Struthio camelus: one gene and its partners. The protein of the gene in region 2 purifies or fractionates together with the protein of the main gene of each other region. This does not show direct contact. Links are inferred from orthologs where the notes say so. Each region holds a gene or a part of one and is shown on either strand. Other genes may lie near its edges.

Region 1 (6,893 bases), on a different chromosome or scaffold from region 2:
GTTTCTCAGCCACATCAGCCCAGCCAAAGTAGCTTAATATGATGAAAAGGCCTTAGGCTTTGGCGAGGCGAAGGTGTAAAGGTGTGATGTTAGCACATACATCACAGCGCAGGCAAGGCTGCCTTTAACACATACTAAACTAATCAAGCTAAAGCAGGCAGGGGACGGGGCGCCTGGCCTCGGGCACGACCGTATTAGCCCATGTCCATACACATATCCCAGAGTAGTTTGTGCGGGGAGCAGCTGTTGCAGAACGCGAGTCCTGATATCTCGTGCTGGAAAGCAGGTGAGAAAACCAAGAGCCGAAACGTTTTAACTTTTTAAACTTTTTTTTCTCAACGACCGTGAACCGTGCTGCCTCCAAAAAGAGCAGGTACGCTGAGCTTACGCTACGCGTCCGTCGCTCCGGAGCGCCCGATGGCTGAAACTCTCCAGCTGGCCGGGAACGCTGCTCCGGACAAGAAGCGAGGGCTAGCCCCAGCAGCGAGCGTCCCACCAAACCGCCGGGAAAGTCAGCGCTGCTCGAGGCTATGTCGTACCCAACATCCAGGCTGTGCTGCTGCCTGACGAGAGTCAGAGCTACGAGATGACAAGTAAGCAAAACGGATGAAAAGGAGAAACAAATATTTCAGGTTTAAAACTAGACTTCCACAACACGTTCGTTAGCTTATGCTAACTATTTTTTTTTTGTTGTTCAGCCACGTTTAGTACAAAAAAACTGGGAGTCGCGTATTTGTATGACGTAATCCTGATTTTGCCACTTGCTTTAGGTCCCGTCTATAACTCTTTAAAATTATCTCGGGTTTTCTTAATATAGAAAGAAAAAAACCCAGCTATTTCTGAACTGCTTCGGTGAATACTCACGCCCGTGCAGCAGAGTACAGCGGGCGCCTGATGTGCTGAGGACGCCCAGCTCCCCCCCGCACCTTGCCGCTGCAGCTGGCCGCTCTTGCAGCGGGGATAGTTCAATGGGATGTGCCCAGCACCAGGCCTTCCCCAGGGCTCAGAGCAGCAGACCGGAGCGAGCAGGTGTCGACTGCAGCGTACTGTTAGCAGCTTCGCCCTGGTTAAAGCCAAAGTGTTGCAATGCACCAGACATTTAAACGGTTAACGTGCTGCCGACGTCGTTTACTAAATGAAGTCTTTGTGGTAGCTCGATCGTTTCTGCAACGCAGAAACACGTCCAAAGAGAACAAAACCTAGACTTTTCATTTATTTCTACAACTTAGCGAACGATCGTTAACCGGCAGGGTTCTGGACTAACGTCGTAAAAGAGAAAGTATCTGGATCCCACCGCAGATAGGATCAGGAATCACCTTATTTCTTAGTATTTCTGTTACACAGACTGCTTCGGTGGTATCACGATACAATGGTACTTACAGGACCTGTTCATCTAATGCTGTGTCTTTGCTATAAAAACGTGTGTTTTTCAGAAAGAGACAATTTATAATGAGGTGGGTAGCCTCGGCCAGACATAAACGTGAAAGTTTTCCTGCCAGAGCTGCTGAAGCATCCCCCATCAGCAAGGCACTCCTACCCTGGGGTCACGCTCGGTGGCACAACTTCTCCTGGCTTGTCCCCCTGCCTTCATTGAGTAATACAAACAACGCTAGCAAAAACCGTTTCCCGCAATCGTACCTCCACTTCGGCTCGCTGTTCACAAGCGCATTTCAATCCTACGTACCTCTCCACACCTTTGATTGCCACAGCAATGGCAGCAGCAGTTTACAGAGCAGACCTGCCTAGCTTTGTTCGGACATGTAGCCGGAGGTAGCGCGCGGTAATGTAACTGATGGGCCTAAGTCCCTCAGCAGCCTCGCTACACCGAAACGAATTTCGCCCTGCCTCCACTAGGATTTTACGTTGTGACAACAACATCAGTACAAAACACAACCAGGAAGGACGTCACACACGCATAGTTAAACCCGCACCTCCCTTTGCATAAAAGGCAAAGCCCCAAACTCAGCTACCGAGGGTTAATTGAGAGGTGTTAAGCGGTGTTTACCTCGGAGGACTGGATGAACCACGTGCGGACAAGCGAACCTAGTGATTTCACCGAGTCTTTCTGCTGTGGGGCGCGACAGCGCTTTTCCACCCACGGCTGATCCGAGCCCAGGGCATCCTCACATGTCTACGCGCGGCTCGATGTGCACGTGCGCGGTGGCTCTGACACATCCTAGACTCGTCCCAGCCACCGCGCGCGCAGCAGATCGGCACATGCACGGTAATTATTTCAGGTGATGGCCTTTTTTTTTTTTTTTTGTTAGCAGACCAGATGGCAACCTGGCAACCCTGGCGAAGGCCTCGGCCGGTCACTCCCCCTTCCTCTGCCGCCCCTCTGCTCCAGCCAAGCCTGGGCCCGTGCGGTACCCAACGCTTTGGGTTCAGTTACGCTAACTGGCCCGAGTTTCACAAAGTTCAAGGTACTTTCTTCTGTGTTAGGCAGTGCATAAACAGAAAGGTTCCTGCATCTGAAGTCCTGCGAGCGGCACACCTTTGCAGTCATTTGGAGACTTTGTAATGCAAACATTTAGCGCGCAGCTATTTTTTCAATTGGGCAGAAATGAGTACGTGTTCAGTGACAGGGCCAAAGGAGTCACGTCAGCAATCCAGCTGGTCCCTGTCATCTTTGCACGCTTGGGCAAAAGCGATGTCTTTATATACATATGAATGTACCTTCACACGTGCATGTGTGTGCGTATGGATTGATGGAGCTATACGTTTTACCTGTATCTCCAAATACAGACAGGTAGCAGTCCTTATTACGAACGTCACAAAGATGTAATTTAATTTCCCACGAAGCCAGGAAGTGAAACAACGGAGACTTTCTTCTTGTGATGAAACGGCTCCCAGGAAAACAGTCCAGCCACAAGCCGTAGCTGGCAGCGCGTGCAATTTTTAACGCGGTGTTTCCGAAGAGGACAAGCTAAAATTCTGAGGGGTCGGGGAGGAAGGGGGGGAGAACAGCGAAAAGGCCCGCTTTGCCCCGCGTTTATTTTTAGGTCGAGGGAGGTGATGAACGGTAACTTCTCCCAACTTTCCCGGCGGTACCTGCGTGCCACCTTAGGCCGTTTTCATCAGCAGCTGCGATGCCAACAGCAAGCACTTCCATAGGGAGGGGGGGTGCCATAGCGCGGGGCAGCTGGGTCGCAGCTGCCGGGAGCCTCCCCGGCAGCGCGGCCGCGCGCTCTGCGCGACCCGCCGGCTGCGGAAAGGAGCACGCGCGCCCCGCGCAGCGCAGCGCAGCGCCGCGGGGCTCCCCCGCAGGGCGGGGCGGCGACCTCCCTCCGCGCCGCTGCTGCCGGCGGCGCCCGGCCAGCAGCCGGGAGGAAAGTCCGGGGGCGCGCCCGGCCCCCCCGAGCCGAGCCGAGCCGAGCCGAGCCGAGCCGAGCCGAGCCGAGGCGCGGCGGGCTGCGGGCCACGTTAACCGCCGGGTAACGAGGCGAACCCCGCCCCGCGGCGCGGCCCGGCCCGGCCGGGCGGGCAGGCGGCCAGCTGGGCCCCCGCCCGCCCGCCCGCTCCGGCCTCCGCAGACTTTGTCTCCCCCCGGCGCGCCGAGCCGGGGCCGCCGCCCCCCCCTCACCCTCACCCCCCGCTCCTCTCCCCGTCGCCTCCGCTGGGGAGGGGCGAGAGCCGCCGGCGGCACAGCGCGGGGGCGGCTGCCCGCCCGGGGGACCCCGGCTGCGGGGCTCGTCGGGATTTTTTTTAAATCGTTCTTTTTTTTTTTTCCCCCTCCCCACGGGGACGAGAAATAAAAACGGTCAGGGCGGGGGGGGGGGGAGAGCCGCGCGGCCGAGCCCGCCCCCCCCCACCCGCCCCCTTCACCTCCCTTCCCCGGCCTCGCCGTCCCGTCCGCGCTCCGCGGCTCCGCGCTTTGGGCGCAGCCGGCCGCGGCAGCCAGCCCGTGAGGTCAGTGGCGGCGGCGCGGGGCGGCGGGCCGGGCAGGCGCAGTGTGGGGCCCGGCGCGGGGGAGGGAGGGCGGCCGGCCTGTCTGTCTGTCTGTCTGTCTGTCTGTGTGTCGCACTGGCGGCGCGGGGGGGGGGGGGGGGGGTTACACAGCAGGGCAGCGGCGGCCGCGCCGGGATCCCTTCCCCACCCCGCCCCGCGGGGAGGGAAGCTTTCTCCTCCTCCCTCCTCCTCCTCCTCCTCCTCCGCCGTCTTCCTCCTCCCCCTTTTTCACCCTTCCTCCTCCTTCTTTCCCCAAAGTTAAACTTCCTGCTCCCGGCCCGGCTGGGAAGGGGACGCGGAGCCCGGCCGGACTCAGCCCTCGACACACACAACAGCTGGAGCTGTCAAAACTTCCTCCGCTCTTGCCTCGGCCCCTGCCGCCGCCGCCGCCTCCGCCGCCGCCGCCTGCTCCTCCTCCGCCCCCGGGGGCTCTGCGCGGGGGGAGGGCGCAGGGCCAGTGTACAATGAAGCGGCGGCCGCCGCCGCAGCCGGGCAGCGCCGCAGCCGGAGCCGCCGCCAGCTCCCGGGGCCTCTGAGAGGGGGGCGCCCAGCGGCGGGATTAGCCGCCTCTCGGCTCGCTCGCTCTCTTCACCTCCCCCGCCGCCTACCCCCGGCCCCGGCGGACCCCGCCGAGCCGCGGAGGGGGGTGTTATTGTGTGTGAGACCCTTCCTTCCTCCCTCCCTCCCTCTCTCCCTCCCTCCACTCCGCGCTCTCGCTCTTCTCTTCCCCCCCCCCCCCGCCCGCCCGCCCGCCCGCCCGCCTCCTGCCGCTCTCCCCATGCTGCTCCCCCTGCTACCTGTGCTGGTCGGCGGCGGCTGAGGCCAGCAATGCGCGGCGGAGGTGGAGGAGGCGGAGGTGAGGAGGCGAGGAGCCGCGGGAGCAGGAGGAGCATCGGGATCCCCATCACCATCCTCATCTTCATCATCATCATCATCCATGTGTCTCTCTCGTCCTGCTGACTAGGATGTCAACGGAGGACAAGAGTCTGGTGGTGGCGGTGGCGGAGCCGCCTCAGCAACAGCAACCCCCCGAGCCGGGAGCTCCCCCCCCAGCAGCAGCGGCGGCAGCGGCAGCCACAGACAAAAGACCTAGGGGCCGGCCTCGCAAAGATGGCGCTTCCCCTTTCCAGAGAGCCAGAAAGAAGTAAGTTCAGCGCTTGTGTGTGCGAGGCAGAGAGGGGCAGGGGGCCGGCAGCCGGGCGCAGGCAGAGCTGTCAGCACGGCCTGCCGGCTCGTCGCCCCCTCCCTCCTGCCTAGTGCCATTTTGAGAAGGGGCCTTCTTTCTTCTCCTCCTCTCCCCTTTGCACTTTCCCCTCCTCCTCCTTTTTCACCTTTGTCTTCCTCCGCCTGTTTTTCCCTTCTCACTTTTCTTTTACCGTCCCTGCGCCTTTTCTTTTCCTCTTTCTTTGGAGTTTCTCTTTAGCTCTTCCCCCCTCTCTTCCTCCCTTTCCCCCCCCCCCTTCCTTTGCACCTTCCCCCTTCTCCTTTTCGGGTCTCTCCTCCTCCAGGACGCTCGGCTGCCTTCAGCGTCGTCTGAATATTCTTTTACTCGATGGCAGCTCGTCGCTGTTTCCACCTGCCCCTCTTCTTTTTTTTTTTTAAAGAAAGAGAAAGAAACGATGGTTCTTGCCCTAAGTGGATGGCTATGAAAACCAGCCCCCCCCCCCCCAACACACACGGGTGCGGACGCGCACACACACAAAGTTTAGGCAGGACTTTCTTCGCCTCCGCCTGGCGGTGTGCTCGGAGGTGGAGGGAGGCTGACGGCGCTGAGGGGAGCTGTCAAGCGGCCTCTCGCCCAGGGACGCGGCCGGCCGCGCCGCTGGGACGGCGAGGCTGCCCAGTGGCGAAGCACAACAAACACCGGGGGAGGGGGGTGGGGGCTGCCGCCGCCTCCTCCTCCTCCTCCTCCTCCTGTGCTGTGGCGGATTTCCTTTCGCCGCCGCCAGGCTGGGCACAGCCCGGGCAGTGCCCCGCAGGCCGGCGGCGAGGGGTGGGGGGGATGTGGGCGCGCCCGCGCCGCGGGCGACCGTTAGCCCCAACGGCCGCGGCGGGCGCCCCAACGGCCGCGCGGGGACCCCGGGCGCTTCGTGCTCGTCTCTGGGCCGGGCGGCGGCGGCAGCGCAGGCAGTAAGGGGGGGGGGGCAGGTCAAGCGCGGATCCCTTGGTGTTGGGCATGCCGAAGTTTCGGTAGAGCCGGTGCGAAGAGCGCGGCGGTGCCCAAGCCCGATTTTTGACGCACCAAAAGGCTAAGAGACATGGGTGAAACGGCGCGTGTGTTTGTTTCAACGCTGATAGGAGTTGGGTGTCGTGTCGGGCGGTGGTGAGAAGGCCTGATGCCCGCAGCAGTGGAAGTGCCGCGCCTGTACGCCGTGTACTCCCTTCGGGTTGTTCCTGCGTAGGGTGGCGTAGCTTCTGGAGGCGGTGACAGGACCGAAGGAGGCTAACGCCTTTTGAGAAGAAACATCACAGTTTTCAGCAACATAGGAAGTCTGTGCGTTGTAGAATTGGTTGCAGCCGCGGGGTTTTCGAGTTTGTTTCTCTTTGTTTTAAAGCGGCGCTCTCAGTTTGACGTCGGTCGAGTCTATTTAAACAGGTGAGTTGCTGGCACTTGGTTAAATGCCCACCCCAAGCGGCTCAGCGGCTTTCTGGGTTTCACTGTAGAATGACAAAACACTGGAAAGGAGTCCTGCTGTGCAGGAAATAAACACACGTAAAGAAAATATTTTTCTCTATTGCAACTTGAAGTGCTGCTACATGTTTATGCTGCATAAATATTCCAAGACAGAACTATCGTGAGTTAGGGATATCTGAATGATTTTTGTTCTTATTGATGAGAGTTTCCCTTGAAACATTCTAATGTTTACCCTCTGGTTTTGGTGGAGAGGCTCATTCACAGCTCCCCCCTTCAAAAACCTTATTTTTTTGCTTAATGCAAATTTTCT
Region 2 (7,107 bases):
CCCAGAGGGTTCCAGGAGGTCCCAGGGCCACCTTTTGTGCTCCCAGAGGTTCCCAGAGCCAACTCTTGGGGTTCCCAGAAGATCCCAGAGCCACCTTTTGTGCTCCCAGAGGGTTTCAGGAGGTCCCAGAGCCACCTTTTGTGCTCCCAGAGGTTCCCAGAGCCAACTCTTGGGGTTCCCAGAAGATCCCAGAGCCACCTTTTGTGCTCCCAGAGGGTTCCAGGAGGTCCCAGGGCCACCTTTTGTGCTCCCAGAGGTTCCCAGAGCCAACTCTTGGGGTTCCCAGAAGATCCCAGAGCCACCTTTTGTGCTCCCAGAGGGTTCCAGGAGGTCCCAGAGCCACCTTTTGTGCTCCCAGAGGTTCCCAGAGCCAACTTTTGGGGTTCCAGGAGATCCCAGAGCCACCTTTTGTGGTCCCAGAGGGTTCCAGGAGGTCCCAGAGCCACCTTTTGTGCTCCCAGAGGTTCCCAGAGCCAACTCTTGGGGTTCCCAGAAGATCCCAGGGCCACCTTTTGTGGTCCCAGAGGGTTCCAGGAGGTCCCAGAGCCACCTTTTGTGCTCCCAGAGGTTCCCAGAGCCAACTCTTGGGGTTCCCAGAAGATCCCAGGGCCACCTTTTGTGCTCCCAGAGGGTTCCAGGAGGTCCCAGAGCCACCTTTTGTGGTCCCAGAGGGTTTCAGGAGGTCCCAGGGCCACCTTTTGTGCTCCCAGAGGGTCCCAGAGCCAACTCTTGGGGTTCCCAGAAGATCCCAGAGCCACCTTTTGTGGTCCCAGAGGGTTCCAGGAGGTCCCAGAGCCACCTTTTGTGCTCCCAGAGGGTTCCAGGAGGTCCCAGAGCCACCTTTTGTGCTCCCAGAGGTTCCCAGAGCCAACTCTTGGGGTTCCCAGAAGATCCCAGAGCCACCTTTTGTGCTCCCAGAGGGTTCCAGGAGGTCCCAGGGCCACCTTTTGTGCTCCCAGAGGTTCCCAGAGCCAACTCTTGGGGTTCCCAGAAGATCCCAGAGCCACCTTTTGTGCTCCCAGAGGGTTCCAGGAGGTCCCAGAGCCACCTTTTGTGCTCCCAGAGGTTCCCAGAGCCAACTCTTGGGGTTCCCAGAAGATCCCAGAGCCACCTTTTGTGCTCCCAGAGGGTTCCAGGAGGTCCCAGAGCCACCTTTTGTGCTCCCAGAGGGTCCCAGAAGATCCCAGAGCCACCTTTTGTGCTCCCAGAGGGTTCCAGGAGGTCCCAGAGCCACCTTTTGTGCTCCCAGAGGGTTCCAGGAGGTCCCAGAGCCACCTTTTGTGGTCCCAGAGGTTCCCAGAGCCAACTCTTGGGGTTCCCAGAAGATCCCAGGGCCACCTTTTGTGGTCCCAGAGGGTTCCAGGAGGTCCCAGAGCCACCTTTTGTGCTCCCAGAGGGTTCCAGGAGGTCCCAGAGCCACCTTTTGTGCTCCCAGAGGTTCCCAGAGCCAACTCTTGGGGTTCCCAGAAGATCCCAGAGCCACCTTTTGTGCTCCCAGAGGGTTCCAGGAGGTCCCAGGGCCACCTTTTGTGCTCCCAGAGGTTCCCAGAGCCAACTCTTGGGGTTCCCAGAAGATCCCAGAGCCACCTTTTGTGCTCCCAGAGGGTTCCAGGAGGTCCCAGAGCCACCTTTTGTGCTCCCAGAGGTTCCCAGAGCCAACTCTTGGGGTTCCCAGAAGATCCCAGAGCCACCTTTTGTGCTCCCAGAGGGTTCCAGGAGGTCCCAGGGCCACCTTTTGTGCTCCCAGAGGTTCCCAGAGCCAACTCTTGGGGTTCCCAGAAGATCCCAGAGCCACCTTTTGTGCTCCCAGAGGGTTCCAGGAGGTCCCAGAGCCACCTTTTGTGCTCCCAGAGGTTCCCAGAGCCAACTCTTGGGGTTCCCAGAAGATCCCAGAGCCACCTTTTGTGCTCCCAGAGGGTTCCAGGAGGTCCCAGAGCCACCTTTTGTGCTCCCAGAGGGTCCCAGAAGATCCCAGGGCCACCTTTTGTGGTCCCAGAGGGTTCCAGGAGGTCCCAGAGCCACCTTTTGTGCTCCCAGAGGGGGGTCTCAGGAGGTTCCCCACCCCGCCCCGGGGCTCGGCGCGGGACGGGCAGTGACGGCCGCGCGCGGGTGCCCGCAGTGAAGTACGAGCCGTGCCTGAACCCCGGCGTGCCGGCCAACGGCTACCAGACGCTCTACAAGCACCACTACCAGGCGGGCGAGTCGTTGCGCTTCTTCTGCTACGAGGGCTACGAGCTGCTGGGCGAGGTGACCATCACCTGCCTGCCCGGGCGGCCCTCGCGCTGGACCAGCCAGCCCCCGCTCTGCAAAGGTAGGGGACCCCCCCCACCCCACCCCACCTGCCCCACGGCGTCGCCCCCCCCCCCACGGCCGGCCCCGCTCACTGCCCTCCCCGCGTCTCCGCAGTGGCCTACCCCGAATATCTGGAGGAGCGGCGTCTCCAGGGTGAGACCTCCCCCCCCCACCCCCCTCCAACCCGCCGCGCTATGGGGCAGGGGGTGTGAGGGTTCTGGGGTGGAGGTATAGGGGGTATGGGGAGCTCTGGGGCAGGGGGTATGGGAGTTATGGGGTGGGGGTATAGGGCTATGGGGGGTTATGGGGTGGGGGTATGGGAGTTATGGGGTGGGGGTTTGGGGGGCTATGGGGCAGGGGTTATAGGAGTTATGAGGTGGGGGTATGGGGGGCTATGGGGCAGGGGTTATAGGAGTTATGGGGTGGGGGTATGGGGGGCTATGGGGCAGGGGTTATAGGAGTTATGGGGTGGGGGTATGGGGGGCTATGGGGCAGGGGTTATAGGAGTTATGGGGTGGGGGTATGGGGGGCTATGGGGCAGGGGTTATAGGAGTTATGGGGTGGGGGTATGGGGGCTATGGGGTGGGGGTATGAGAGTTATGGGGTGGGGATATGGGGGCTATGGGGCAGGGGTTATAGGAGTTATGGGGTGGGGATATGGGGGGCTATGGGGCAGGGGATATGAGGGGCTATAGGGTGGGGGATATGGGGCGTCTATGGGGAAAGGGTAAGGGAGTTATGGGGCAGGGGGATTGGGGAATGGAGGGCTATGGGGTAGGAGGGTATGGGGGAATGGGGGAGCTATGGGGCAAAGGGTAGGAGGGTGGGGGGCTATGGGGCGGGGGGTCTGGGGTGCTATGGGGCAGTATAGCGGGTATGGGAAGGGTGTGGGGCAGGGAGGTATGGGGGGGGCTATGGGGCAGGAGAGGACAATGGGCCATAGGGTGGCTATGGGGGGGGTTATGGGGCGCTATGGGGGGGGGTTGGGGGGGGCGGAGCTCCCGCCGCTGCTATAGGGCGGCAGGGGGAGGAGAGCAGAACACCACGTGGTGCAGTGCTGACGTCACCGCCCCCCCCCCCCCGCCGCCGCCGCGGCCATTGGCCGCGCAGTCACGCAGACGGCGGACCCCTCCCGCCAGCTGGAGGGCGGCAACATCGCCCTGGCCGTCTTCCTGCCCATCATCCTCGTCCTCCTGCTGATTGGCGGGATCTACGTCTACTACACCAAGTGAGCCAATCGGCGCCCCGGGGGCGGGACCCGCCGCGGCGCGGCGCTCTTAAAAGGGCAACGCCGGGTGGGGCCCACCGCCCCACCACCGCGTCTTAAAGCGGCGATGAGGGACAGGTCTTAAAGGGGCCGCGTCGCAATTTCGTTGTTTTGCCTGGAAGGAGGGGAGGAGGTGGTTGTGGGCGGCCCCATGGCAGGGTGTGGGGGGGGGGAAGGAGGGAGGGGGCAGGGTTGGCCTCACTGCCCCCATCCCCAACGTGTCTCTGCCCCAGGTTTCAGGGCAAGTCCCTGTTCGGCTTCTCCTTCTCCAGCTCCCACAGCTACAGCCCCATCACGGTGGAGAGCGACTTCAACAACCCCCTCTACGAGGCCGGGGTGAGCCTGCGACCCCCCCCAATCCATTCCTTGGGTATGGGGGGCTAGCCACGCCCCCTCCCATTGGCCACGCCCCCATTTGGGGTGGGCGGAGCCATAGCCTCACCCCCCCACCACCACCACCACTTCTCTCCCACCCCACAGGACACCAGGGAGTACGAAGTCTCCATCTGAAGGCCACGCGGACCCCCCCCCCGCAACCTGGGGGGAGGTGGTGGGGCAGGATCTGGCCCCCTCCCCCAGCGGGGGGGGGGTGATGGGTGCCTCCGTCGTCCCACAATGCCTTGCTTCCCCCCTCCCCAGCTCTGCAAACATCCACCTGCTAATGGTGACCCCCCCCCCTCCACCCAGCTCCCACCCTGCGAGCTTCTCCCCACCGGCCGGGACTATTTATTTAATTTATTTAATTAATTTATATATTTATTGGGATAAGCAGCGGGTGTCAGCGAGGTTTGGGAGGGGGAGACCCCCCCCCCCACCTCACCGAGACACTCAGTCCGCCCCTTTAAGGTCACCAGATGGGAAGATCCCTTTAAGGCGATCATTCTGCCTGGAGGACGTTTATTACCACTGCGGCCCCTTTAAGGGTTATATTGGGCGGGGTGCGGGGGGGGGGGGAAAGGAAGGGACACTTCGCCTTTAAGGTGCCAAATGCCGGAGGACACAAATTCACCCAACCCATCCCTTTAAGACCATTCGAGGGGGTGGGGGGGGTGAATTCAGGCCTTGCTCCGCCCACTTTGGGGAGGAGCCGCCGCCAGGCCACGCCCCCCGCACGCTCCATGTGCCAAACGCCCCCCCCACCTCCAAACACACACTCGCCCCGTTTTGGGTTCATTTGCTTGGGATTTGGAGCAATAAAACGACTCAATAAACGGCGCCGTTTCTAAGGCCGCCTCCGCCTCCGTCTGCGCCTGCGCCGCCCGAGGGGGGGGACCGCCCCCCCCCGCTCCACGCGTCACCGCGCTCCGACCAATCGGCGGCCGCGGCAGGCGGTGAGGCGCGCACGCGCGGTCGAGAGGGGATGTGGGGGGGGGAGAGAGAGAGAGAGAGAGAGAGAGAGAGAGAGAGAGAGAGAGAGAGAGAGAGAGGAGAGGCGCGCATGCGCATTCGCGGCGGAGGGGGGTGCCTCTTTCCGAGGGGCAGAATAGGCCTGTTGCGCACGCGCGTCTCCGCTAGCGCGCATGCGCGCAGCTGTCGGACCAACGCAGCGCATGCGCAAGACTCCTGGGGGGGGGGAGAGGCGCAGCTCCCTCCCCGCGCATGCGCTTTCCTCATCACCCCCCCCCCCGCGCGCATGCGCACCTCTCGAGGAACAACGCGGCGCATGGGCGCTGCTGCGGAGGGCGGGAGGGAAAGCAGCGGGGCTCCCGCCCCGCGCATGCGCGCGCCACTTGGCCCCGCCCCCTCCGCGCATGCGCAGCAGGGAAGGGGGGGAGGAAGCGGGAAAAGGAAAAAGGCGGGAGGGCGCACAAAATGGCGGCGGGGCGCCAGTGAGGGGAGGCCGCGGCGGGCCGGGGTCAGCGGGGTGGGGGGGCCCTGAGAGCCCCTTTGCCGGCACCATCCCGCCCCCGGCAGTGCCGGAGACGGCCCCCCTCCCCCCGTCAGGGTGAGCAGGGCGCGGGGCCCCTCGCTGCCGCCATGGCGCGGGGCTGGGCGTCGGGCCTCGACATGGCCACCCCTCGGCGGGGGAGGGAGCGCGCCGCTCCGTGTGGCGGTGACAGGGCGGCGTCGCCCGCGCCGCTGTGACCGGGCCGGGTGGGGAAGGGGGCTGCTTTTGTCACCTTTTTAGGGTGTTATCGGCTGAGGGAGCGTCCGACTTGGTCTCGTGTTTCCCCCCCCCCCCATTCTTTTCAGGAAATGATGGAGGCCACGGCGGAGGAAGACGGCGAGGTGACTTCGGGGCTCCAGTCCCTCGCCGTGGAGGACACGGCCGAGCCGGAGCGGGCTCCGACGCCGGCTGAGGCGGAGAGCGAGGCGCCGGCGGAGCTCCCCGAAGGAGGGACCGAGGCCGCGGCCCCCGAAGCCGCGGCAGAGGAGGAGGAGGAGGAAGAAGGGGAGGCGGCGGCGCCGGCGGAGGAGGGCGAGTGGGGGGTGCCCTGCAGCGACGAGGAGCTGGAGGGCGCCGACGCCTGGATGCCGGCCCCCGAGGAGATCCGCCGCCTCTACGAGCTCATCGCCGAGAAGGGCACGCTGGAGCTGCGGGCCGAGCCGCTGCCCCGGCGGGCCCCCACGCCCGAGCCCGACAGCGAGGAGGAGCGCCGCTCCGACGGGCAGCCCGAGAGCGAGGAGGAGGAGGAGGAGAAGTGAGGAAGGGCGAGAGGGCTTCCCGGCTCCGCCGGCGACGAAGCGCGCGTTGCGGGGGACGCCGGGCTGACGCTTTTTTCTCTCTCCCAGGCCTCGCGTCCCCACCGAGTTCGACTTCGACGACGAGCCGGTGACGCCCAAGAGCTCCCTCATCGACCGCCGCAGGACGCCGGGTAAGGAGGAGGCGGGAGGGCGCAGGCGGCCGCCGTCCCCTCGCCGCCCTCCGCAGGCGTTCGGCCCCCCCCCTTCCTTTGTCCTCCCCCTTTCCTAAATAGCGCCCCCCCCCTCCGCAGGCGCCTCGTCGCGGAGCCAGAAGCGGGAAGCGCGGCTGGACAAGGTGCTGTCGGACATGAAGCGGCACAAGAAGCTGGAGGAGCAGATCCTGCGCACGGGCCGGGACCTGTTCGAGCTGGAGGGCGCCGAGGCGGCGCCGGCGCCCAAACGCCCGCCGGGGCTCTTCCTGCGCCAGCGCAAGTACTGAGCGGCTCCCGCCGCAAACACGGGCGGGGGAAAGCCGCTGAATCCCGCCGTCTTTTTATTTCGTGCCGGGGGGGGGAGAGGGGGTTGGATTTGGGGGAAGGGGGCAGGTTCAATCGCTGTCGCCGTCGGAGCTGATGACGCCGCGGAGGCGCGACCAGTCCACGGGCGGGCGCCGGGGCGGCCCCTCGTCTTCCTCCGGGGGCGGCCGGGGGGCGTTGTAGAGGCTCCAGACGTTGCGCCGTCGGGGCCGGCCTGGCCGAGGGGAAGGGGGAGATGAAGCGGGAGGGCGAGGGGGCGCCGGGGGGGGGGGGCTGCCCCACACGCGCCGCCCCCGCTTACCCCCCGAGTCGATGATGTTGGCCGTGTCCAGCGCGGCCAGCTCCGCCGCCTCCTCCCGCCGCTGCTTCAGCGCCCGGCACCGGGCC
Region 3 (7,763 bases), on a different chromosome or scaffold from region 2:
ATATCCAGAAACCAAATCTCACGTTCGAAGTCCTCGTTGCACAATATTATTTTACTCTCTGCGTATTTTACTCTCTTTGCCTATTTTTAGTAGCGTTATCTTACCATGACGATTGTAGTTTACATCTGTCAGGAAAATAAAGCATTTATTAAAAAAAAAAAAAAAAAAAAAGATGACATCTCGTCACCACCTCCAGTGAGGTGTGAACAGGCAAGTGCACATCTCAGTGGAACAGATTCAAATTTGAGAGCCAGAAGCCTAATTTTCCACCAGTTGCCAAAGAATATCTAGGCACAATTCCAAACTTTTGTTTCCCTTCTAGTTCATGCTGCAAATATTTTAAATAGGTAGTAGGTACGTAGCTATTCACCGGAATGGATTATATTTTGTTCTTGTTATTGGATTAGTTTCATTAAAATCCTCATTTTTGCTAGGCCTGTTTTAATATTGATTCGGATGTCTAGCCTTCAATGAAAACATTTGGAAACTTAAGCTGATCAGAGTATGCTCATCCCCAAAAGATAAGCATAAAGATGAAAAAGATGAAATAGGAAGCTTCTTTTTGAAAGTAAGCTAGTATCCACTTGTATATAAATAAGCAAATAATTTTGAAAATATCTGTATTCTTATAATACTAATGGATAAATATTTCAGTATAGAAACTATTTTTTTTAAATGTGTAGAATTTAATTTAGATTTTCTCCTTTCTGTCCTGGTTAAAAACACAACACGTAAATAGCCTGCTTGTTCATTTTTTCCCTAGGGTACCACAGAGGGTACTTGTGAGAAGCAGTGAAAAGTTCCTAAGTGGAACTTGCCCAAGTTCAGTAAAACCCACTTCTGATTAGCTTTGGTTGTGATGGTGCTGAATCAAATCCAGACAGGACTCTCACAGAACCACAACCTGCACTCCCCAGTGCCTGATGTTCCTGAGGGCTCATGAGCTCAGGCACCAGTGCTGAGAAGTCCTGACATCCATTTAACCCTATGCCAAAGCACTAAGCCATTTCAGCATCCAGAGCTCAGGAGGAAAGAGTGCAAACTGACCAGCAGGCTGTTTACAGAAACAACTCAGACCCATCGGACTTTTCAATTTGGCCATCATACACAGAAAGAAAGTGGTTAAAAGTCTTCCAGCATGACCTGAAGCAGCGGTAGCCACTATGGTGTAGCGCTATGCCTAAGCTTACACAGTCTGCCAGAGCCACCTTAGCTGTCTATCTACAACACAGAAATGTCATCCACTAATACATGAGAACTGAGTGTACCTAATTTAGAACACATTAAGGCTTGACAACAACGAAGTTAACTGCTAAGCAAGATAAAATTTATCTTAAGAAAAAAAAACTAGCAAAAGAGAATGATTGCTTACTGGCTCTATGGGAATACTGCTGATTGTCTTGCTACGTCAACACAAAACTAACTACATGCCTTTTGGGACACCATACATATGATATAGAAGAGAGTCCTGTTGTTTTCTGCACTCATCTTTGTACATATAATAATACTGCTGCTATACCTTCTTAAAAATGTATAGTGTTATTCAAGCTCTCATACATTTTCAAATAGCTAATGTCTAAAGGCTGTGGGTTTTTTCTACTCTTCAACTACATTACCAGTCTTTATTTAACATATAATCCTATTAACGTGAAAACACAAAAAAACATTTAAATAGGTCAATGTCTATGTCCCGAGTTTGTTTAAACACCCATAAGTGGAAAAAAACATGAGATGAAAGGAATCTGATACTGAACAAATGGTAGACTACAGCAACTACCAAAAGAGTCAAGACTTAAATTTCAGTATCAAATGCACAGGAATCTGTTAGCATGAAGTTGCTGTCCTAAAGCTAGATATGGCACACTTCAAACACTTGTCTAATTGGACATGCCGAGGAAACTTTGTTGGCACTTCCATCCAGCAGAACTGGATGTTACCACAGGCCAGCCCTGACATCCAGGCTACTGCCCTAGGTGCTAGGGCTGGAAGGTCATCTGACAGCAGCTTAGGGGAGCACGAGGCAGGGAAGATCATGTCGTGACCACATCAGGATCTCTGTCCGTCCAATGGGCCTGAGAGATCCGGGGACAGGCAGCGGAGCCACGGGGGTCCTGCACTGTGCTCCTGGGACACAAGGAGGAGGGCGGAGACCGAGCGGGCAGGCACGGGCGAGCGGGGAGGGAAGTGACAGCGAAGCCTTCGTTTGCCGAGCCTCCCCCCGCCACCCAGGCGCCGGGCCGGCCTGTCACTGCCCCCGTCCTGCACCGGCCACAGCCAGGGGCGCGGGGCCCAGCCGGGGCCGGCACGGCGAGAGGCTGCCTGCCGCCCCCCGCCCGGCGCTGCGGTCGGGTCCGCCGAGGGCCGCACGGCTCCACGGGCGGGCCAGGCCCGGGGCCGAGGAGCGGCCCCGTCTCCAACAGGAAGTCCCTTCGCCCGCCCCTCCTCCGCTCAGGCGGCTACGGGGCCTGCGCGCCGGGGCCGCTGGCTCCCATGGCGGGTCGCGGCGCGGCTGGCCGCGGGCACGGCCGTTACTGGCCGTTATGGCTCCCCCGCGGCGGGGGCGGGGGCGGGGGTGGGGGGGCGCTGGGAGGGAGGGAGGGAGGGCGCGCGCGCGCGCTCGGCCCCCGCCCCTCCCGCGGGGGAGCGCGGCGCGTGCGGCGGCGGCGCGCGAGCCTCGAGCCCGCGCGGTGAAGTGCTGGGGGGGGGGGGGGGGGGAGAGAAGAGGAGCAGGAGGAGCCCATGCTGCCCCCCCCGGGGGGGGGGGAACGGAGTTGAGGAGAGGGTGACCCGGTACCTTGGGGTCGATGTCTCCCACCGCGAAGAACTTGACATCTTTGAACATCTCCTCGGGGACTTTCAGCTCCTCCTCGTCCGCCGACATGGTCCCGGCCGAGGCCGCCGTCACGCGCGCCCCCCCCTTCGCCCCCTCCCCAATATCCCCCGCGCGCACTGTGCAGAGCCGCCGGGGCCCGGGTCTCCCGTCCCCTCCCCCCGCCGAGCCGCCGAACCGCGCGAGCAAGGCGCGCGCTGCGGGACACACCATCCCCCGCCGGGACGCAGGGGGGGCCGAGGGGGGAGGGGAGAGCCGCCGGGACAAAGCGGCTCCCCCCGCCCGATCAGCCACCCCGGCTGTTGCAGGACTAGGCCCGCTCCTCTTCCACGGACGCTATCTCCGCTCTTGCCCCGCTTTCCGAACCGCACCAGAAGCCAGCCTCCGGGCCCGCGGCTCCCCCCCCGTACGGAACGCAATGGACTCGCCCCGAACGACAGAGGCGGGCAGCGGGGATTCCCGGACCCGCCCATTAGCAAACAGGCGAGGGAGGGGGGGAAGAGGAGAAGGGAGCGCTCCGCCCTCGAGCCCCGCCCCCAAGCGCAGGCCCCGCCTCCCCCGCCGCGCCCCTGGGGACCGTTACCCGCCCGCCGCCCCGCCCCCCCCTCCCCCCCCCCCGCCGCCCCTCGCCGCCCTCAGGGCGCTCGGGCGGGAAGCGGCCGCGGGCGGCGGCGGCGCTGGGGGGCGGCCCGCTCCCCCCGTCACACGGCGGCCTGAAACTCCTTCCCGCCCCGGCGACGCCTGCCTGGCACCTGGCAGCACAGCGCCCCGGGCCCTGCGCTAGGCCTTGCGTGGCTCAGGAGGGCCCCGCTGAGGCTGGAGCGCGCTCCCCGTTTCCAAAACCCTGGTGACAGCCAAAAAGCACTTGTGCGACTCCCGTTTTCTTCATGATACCAGGCTTTCGTCTCTGTTCTTCAGGGGAAATCAAGCAACCGCCCGTGACTAACCCCACTGCAAGCTGTGACAACGTTTCTGTACTGCACGTGTCCTACTACGTTCTGCGCTTTATTCTGATTTCAAACCATTCCTTCAGTCGGTCGAGAACCTTCCAAAATTCAGTCCTGTCCCAAAATGTTGTTACCTCTCCCCGCTGGCAGCCCTCTGCAAATTTAATAGGCGTACTAGGTATTCCGGCATCCTACTCATTAATGAAAGTACTGATTACTACCAAAATCAGACGTTCTCCCTTAGAAGCCTGCTCAAAACATCTTCTACCATGATACTAAACCACTGAAACCTAAAGGAGGATTCATCTTACCTGACTCCGGAAAACTGCTCAGAAAACTGAAACAATCACCTTAAATTCCCTTTACAGTCAAGAGAGAGGAAAAAAGCACTTTAGACCCTGATTCGCTGACATATTTTAAATATCTGTGTATTGTCCGGTAAATCCTGCCCCTACGCTAACTGTGCTTTCCGAAGGAGTTTGGACCCCTCATATTAATCTTGTGCAGACGATGTTTCTCTGCCGTACTTCAGAGCAGTGTTACGGAGACGACATCCAAAGGGTGCAAGAAAATACAGGACAGCTACTTCTCGTCTCCTGTCCACAGAGCCTGTTGCACTTCCCCAGGGGAAAATTAGATTTATTGAACTAATTTTGAATGAGCAGAACCATCTGCTTTTGAACATCAGTTTTATCCCCTTCATGCAATTATTCACACTCTTATCTCACTTTCCATCTTTCCTAACGACTCACTCTTGTTTAGATCATTTTCTTCTACCCCAAGTATGTTCCTGGACTGCCTTTGAAAAACGCTTCTCTGAACCTCACCTTTCTCTATAACTGCCGTCCAGGCCTCCCAAGTCTGGCTTCTGCTTTCATCTTACATAATTTCCACCTTCTTCAGCTCCATTTTTGATCCGTTTTGGCTTCTTCCCACTAAATTAGAACTACTTTGACCAAAAACTTCATGCACCTAATTTTCCTTATTCTTCTCAAACCATCTGTAAAGCATTAACACTATTGCTTACTGAGTTTTCTTTCCTTTTGGATTCCAGTATCTCTGTACTTATCTGTATTTTCCAGCACTGGTTGTTCTCACTTCTTTTCTTTTACAAGTATCAGTGTCTCTCAGGTTTCTGTTCTCTGTTCCAATTTTTCCTCTATGTATTCTTTTCTCTTCATGGTGTCATTCATTACCTGCCTTCATCATCTTTCTCAAATATGATTGCTAAATTGTCCCTCCTCCCATGAGTACTTCCCTTATATCTAATTTCATTTGCCATTGCATATTCCCACTCCACACTAAAAAAAACAGAGTTATCTGTCCTCTTGATTCCTCTCTTCAGTCTGTCTTCTTTGCTACTGCAAACATTTTCCCCTAGCCTTTCTATCCCTTGGGCTTACCATATGCACATTATTTTTAGTTCTTTGCACAACACAAAGATTACAAATATTTCAAAGCAGGCGTTATGTTTATACCGACAAAGAAGCATAGTGCAAACAAACGGCACTTTGAACATGATTTTTAATAATAATGCCCTTTCCCAAACCTTCTGCTCAAATTGTGCTATTGAGGCATTACGTTGGGCCTCTTTGATCTTCTGTTGAGTCAGCTATTCAAATCACAAGAATATGAGATAAATTTGGTACTTAAAATCCCATCAGTTTGACAGTCCTCTACAGCATATCAGATGTTAGCTGTGCAAGGTCGGAGCACTGCACATTTAAGTCACTGAAAACCATTGCAAAAGCAGTTTTCAGCAAAAATATGCTTGTTAATAACGTGTCAATCTGAACCAGAACTGTACTTTTTCACCCATTATGATAAAAATCCAAGAATGAGGTTTAATTCCACTTACAGTATGGAAGTGTAATGCAATGTAAACAGAGAATTTAAGAATTCACTAAAATAGCTTTGCAAAAAGAAATCTGTTTTATAACTTCAGTCTCAAAAAAACCCAAAGTTTAAAACAGAAAACTGTCATTCAGTAAACAGAATTTCTCCTAAAATGTAATATATATTTTTTCTACTTCTGACGCTTTCAGAATAACCAATTGATATATTTGAAAAAACACCTAGCATATTCAGAATGAGGAAAATTTTCTCATCAAGTTGTAAAAACCAGAAATAAAAGGTTTTCCCCCTAAAGTGAGAGACTTCTATAATCGAAACATTAAATGTATGTGCTTGCTGTGTCCTGCTTACACTGAAGTTCATGACAAAGCAGTACTTAGCATTAATCGCTCAAATTGGCCTCACAGCTTTTGACTAGTGTAGCAGCATACATTTTGGCATGCTATTTTGCAATGTCAATTGGCTTTTATGCTTATAATAAATCTTTGAATGCCATCAAACTTAAAGCATAAGAGGGTACAGTTTCTATTATTTTTTTCTAAAGAATCAGCTTTCCAATCTTCTGTATCATTAATTCGAATTTCTTGTTTCTAAACTAGCCAAGTAAGTTTTTTTCCCATAAAAGTCAAATGAGAACTCCTCTTTTCCTGAGGGGCAGAATCATGCTACCAGTTGGAGAATATCTGTGCCAACTGCAGTGTAGGAGACAGCATATTTTTGCTTAGTGGTTAAGCAGAAGTAGACATAGTATGACATACATTTAAAAAGAGACTTTAAAACCCCGTCAGAACTTTTTTTTTTCCAATTTCATACATTAGGTTCTCTGACTTAACAGACTTTTAGAGAGCTAATTTATAGCATTGCGTGAATCCATTTCTGAGACAAGTCACAGTAGACCCTGTTAAGTCCTCTTGAAGATGGAATATAGATACACATGCATACTTTGCAGACAGATATGTGGAAAGTTCTGGAAGTTATTTAAACTGAATTCACTGAAATTACATAGAGATAGTGATTTAAACATGTTTAAAATAAATAGACTGAAATTTTTATGGGATCTTTTACAGTTTTTTATCCCGTTTTGTATGTAGAGTGTTGCAAATTAAGAGTAAAGCAGCAGAAGCTAATGAACAAATCAAATTGCACTGTTAAAAATATACTTCTCTAAGAACTTCTGCCATCCTTCTTTCACTAACTAAACTTTACACATTCCTCCTACTTCCCTCAAAATCACTTTAATAACAAAAAGGTCATTTCTACCTACCTCCACCCAGACAGTTATTTTGTTTTGCTGTAGGTTTATTTGGTATCAATATTTCTGCCAAAGCTATTAAAGACTTGGAAATTGTTCGACAAAACTAGCTTCATGTTTCATTCTGATAGTTCAACCTCTTGCCCAGATTCTTAATTCAAACGTAGGACTCGGTCCTGTGAAGTTGTAGGTCAGATTATATCTACTTCTACTGAGGATGGATTAGGGACTGGGTCAAAAAGAAAGACTTAGATAGTGCAGTCTCAGTGAGGCAGTGCCTGTGCGCTTTGGACGTGCATTTGCTTTGCAAAAGGCTGGAGTGGTTTAAAAATTACTGCTCTCAATTTGCTTGTCACTGCCTTCTCTGAGCTCAAGTAGCTGTCAGGTAGGCAACTAGCTGTGCAGCACAGTCAAAGCATGTGCATTGCTGCACGTACCATGAGACAACGCACAGAAACACGCATACAGAAAGCTTTCCTGGTAGACTTTTAGACACCTAAAAGGTTTAGTGGCCCCTGAGAAGTAGTTTCGTATATCTGAATTTTGGACTTTTCATCACTTAGAGTGGCTGTTGGGTTATCAGCAGTGATATTAATCTTCTTACATATAAGTATCTCGTGTTTTTTCCACATTTTTGTTGGCTTCAAGATGACCACTCACAGGAGCATATACTACTCGCATAGCTAAACACGTATAATTCTTCCCTGCAGTTAGCTTCTAAATATGCAGAGTAATTAAATTAATGAACCCATCTTTTACTTCTGTATATATATGTAATGAGTCATCTGTCAACAAGTTATTTAATTTCTAGTAATTAGACTACTTCTAACAAAAATGAATAATTCCAATTTCTGCATTGTGTGTGCGTGATCTAGTTTAT

What was found. Proteins that work in one complex are often made in the same cells at the same time.
Region 1: the proteins of PAGR1 (region 2) and KMT2C purify together in Homo sapiens (affinity purification with mass spectrometry; 3 studies listed by BioGRID and IntAct, with this or other methods). This does not show direct contact. The link is inferred for Struthio camelus from reciprocal best matches to the Homo sapiens genes PAGR1 and KMT2C.
Region 3: the proteins of PAGR1 (region 2) and PAXIP1 purify together in Homo sapiens (affinity purification with mass spectrometry; 6 studies listed by BioGRID and IntAct, with this or other methods). This does not show direct contact. The link is inferred for Struthio camelus from reciprocal best matches to the Homo sapiens genes PAGR1 and PAXIP1.

Annotation. Positions count from the first base shown.
Region 1 is NC_090943.1:8,562,016-8,568,908, reverse strand, and holds the start of KMT2C (histone-lysine N-methyltransferase 2C), read left to right. Parts: upstream 1-3,885; 5' UTR 3,886-3,909; intron 3,910-4,668; exon of another isoform or gene 4,669-4,745; coding exon of another isoform or gene 4,746-4,883; intron 4,884-4,912; 5' UTR 4,913-4,913; coding exon 4,914-5,092; intron 5,093-6,893. Other genes in the region: uncharacterized protein, read right to left, coding at 4,746-4,883. UniProt on the Homo sapiens protein: Histone methyltransferase that catalyzes methyl group transfer from S-adenosyl-L-methionine to the epsilon-amino group of 'Lys-4' of histone H3 (H3K4).
Region 2 is NC_090973.1:652,084-659,190, reverse strand, and holds PAGR1 (PAXIP1-associated glutamate-rich protein 1), read left to right. Parts: upstream 1-4,097; 5' UTR 4,098-4,890; intron 4,891-5,216; exon of another isoform or gene 5,217-5,504; intron 5,505-5,752; 5' UTR 5,753-5,755; coding exon 5,756-6,201; intron 6,202-6,292; coding exon 6,293-6,375; intron 6,376-6,495; coding exon 6,496-6,683; 3' UTR 6,684-6,718; downstream 6,719-7,107. Other genes in the region: SEZ6L2 (seizure 6-like protein 2), read left to right, coding at 2,120-2,311, 2,407-2,445, 3,403-3,520, 3,793-3,895, 4,040-4,069; HIRIP3 (HIRA-interacting protein 3), read right to left, coding at 6,792-6,934, 7,022-7,107. UniProt on the Homo sapiens protein: Its association with the histone methyltransferase MLL2/MLL3 complex is suggesting a role in epigenetic transcriptional activation. However, in association with PAXIP1/PTIP is proposed to function at least in part independently of the MLL2/MLL3 complex.
Region 3 is NC_090943.1:9,729,874-9,737,636, forward strand, and holds the start of PAXIP1 (PAX-interacting protein 1), read right to left. Parts: upstream 3,009-7,763; 5' UTR 2,882-3,008; coding exon 2,795-2,881; intron 1-2,794.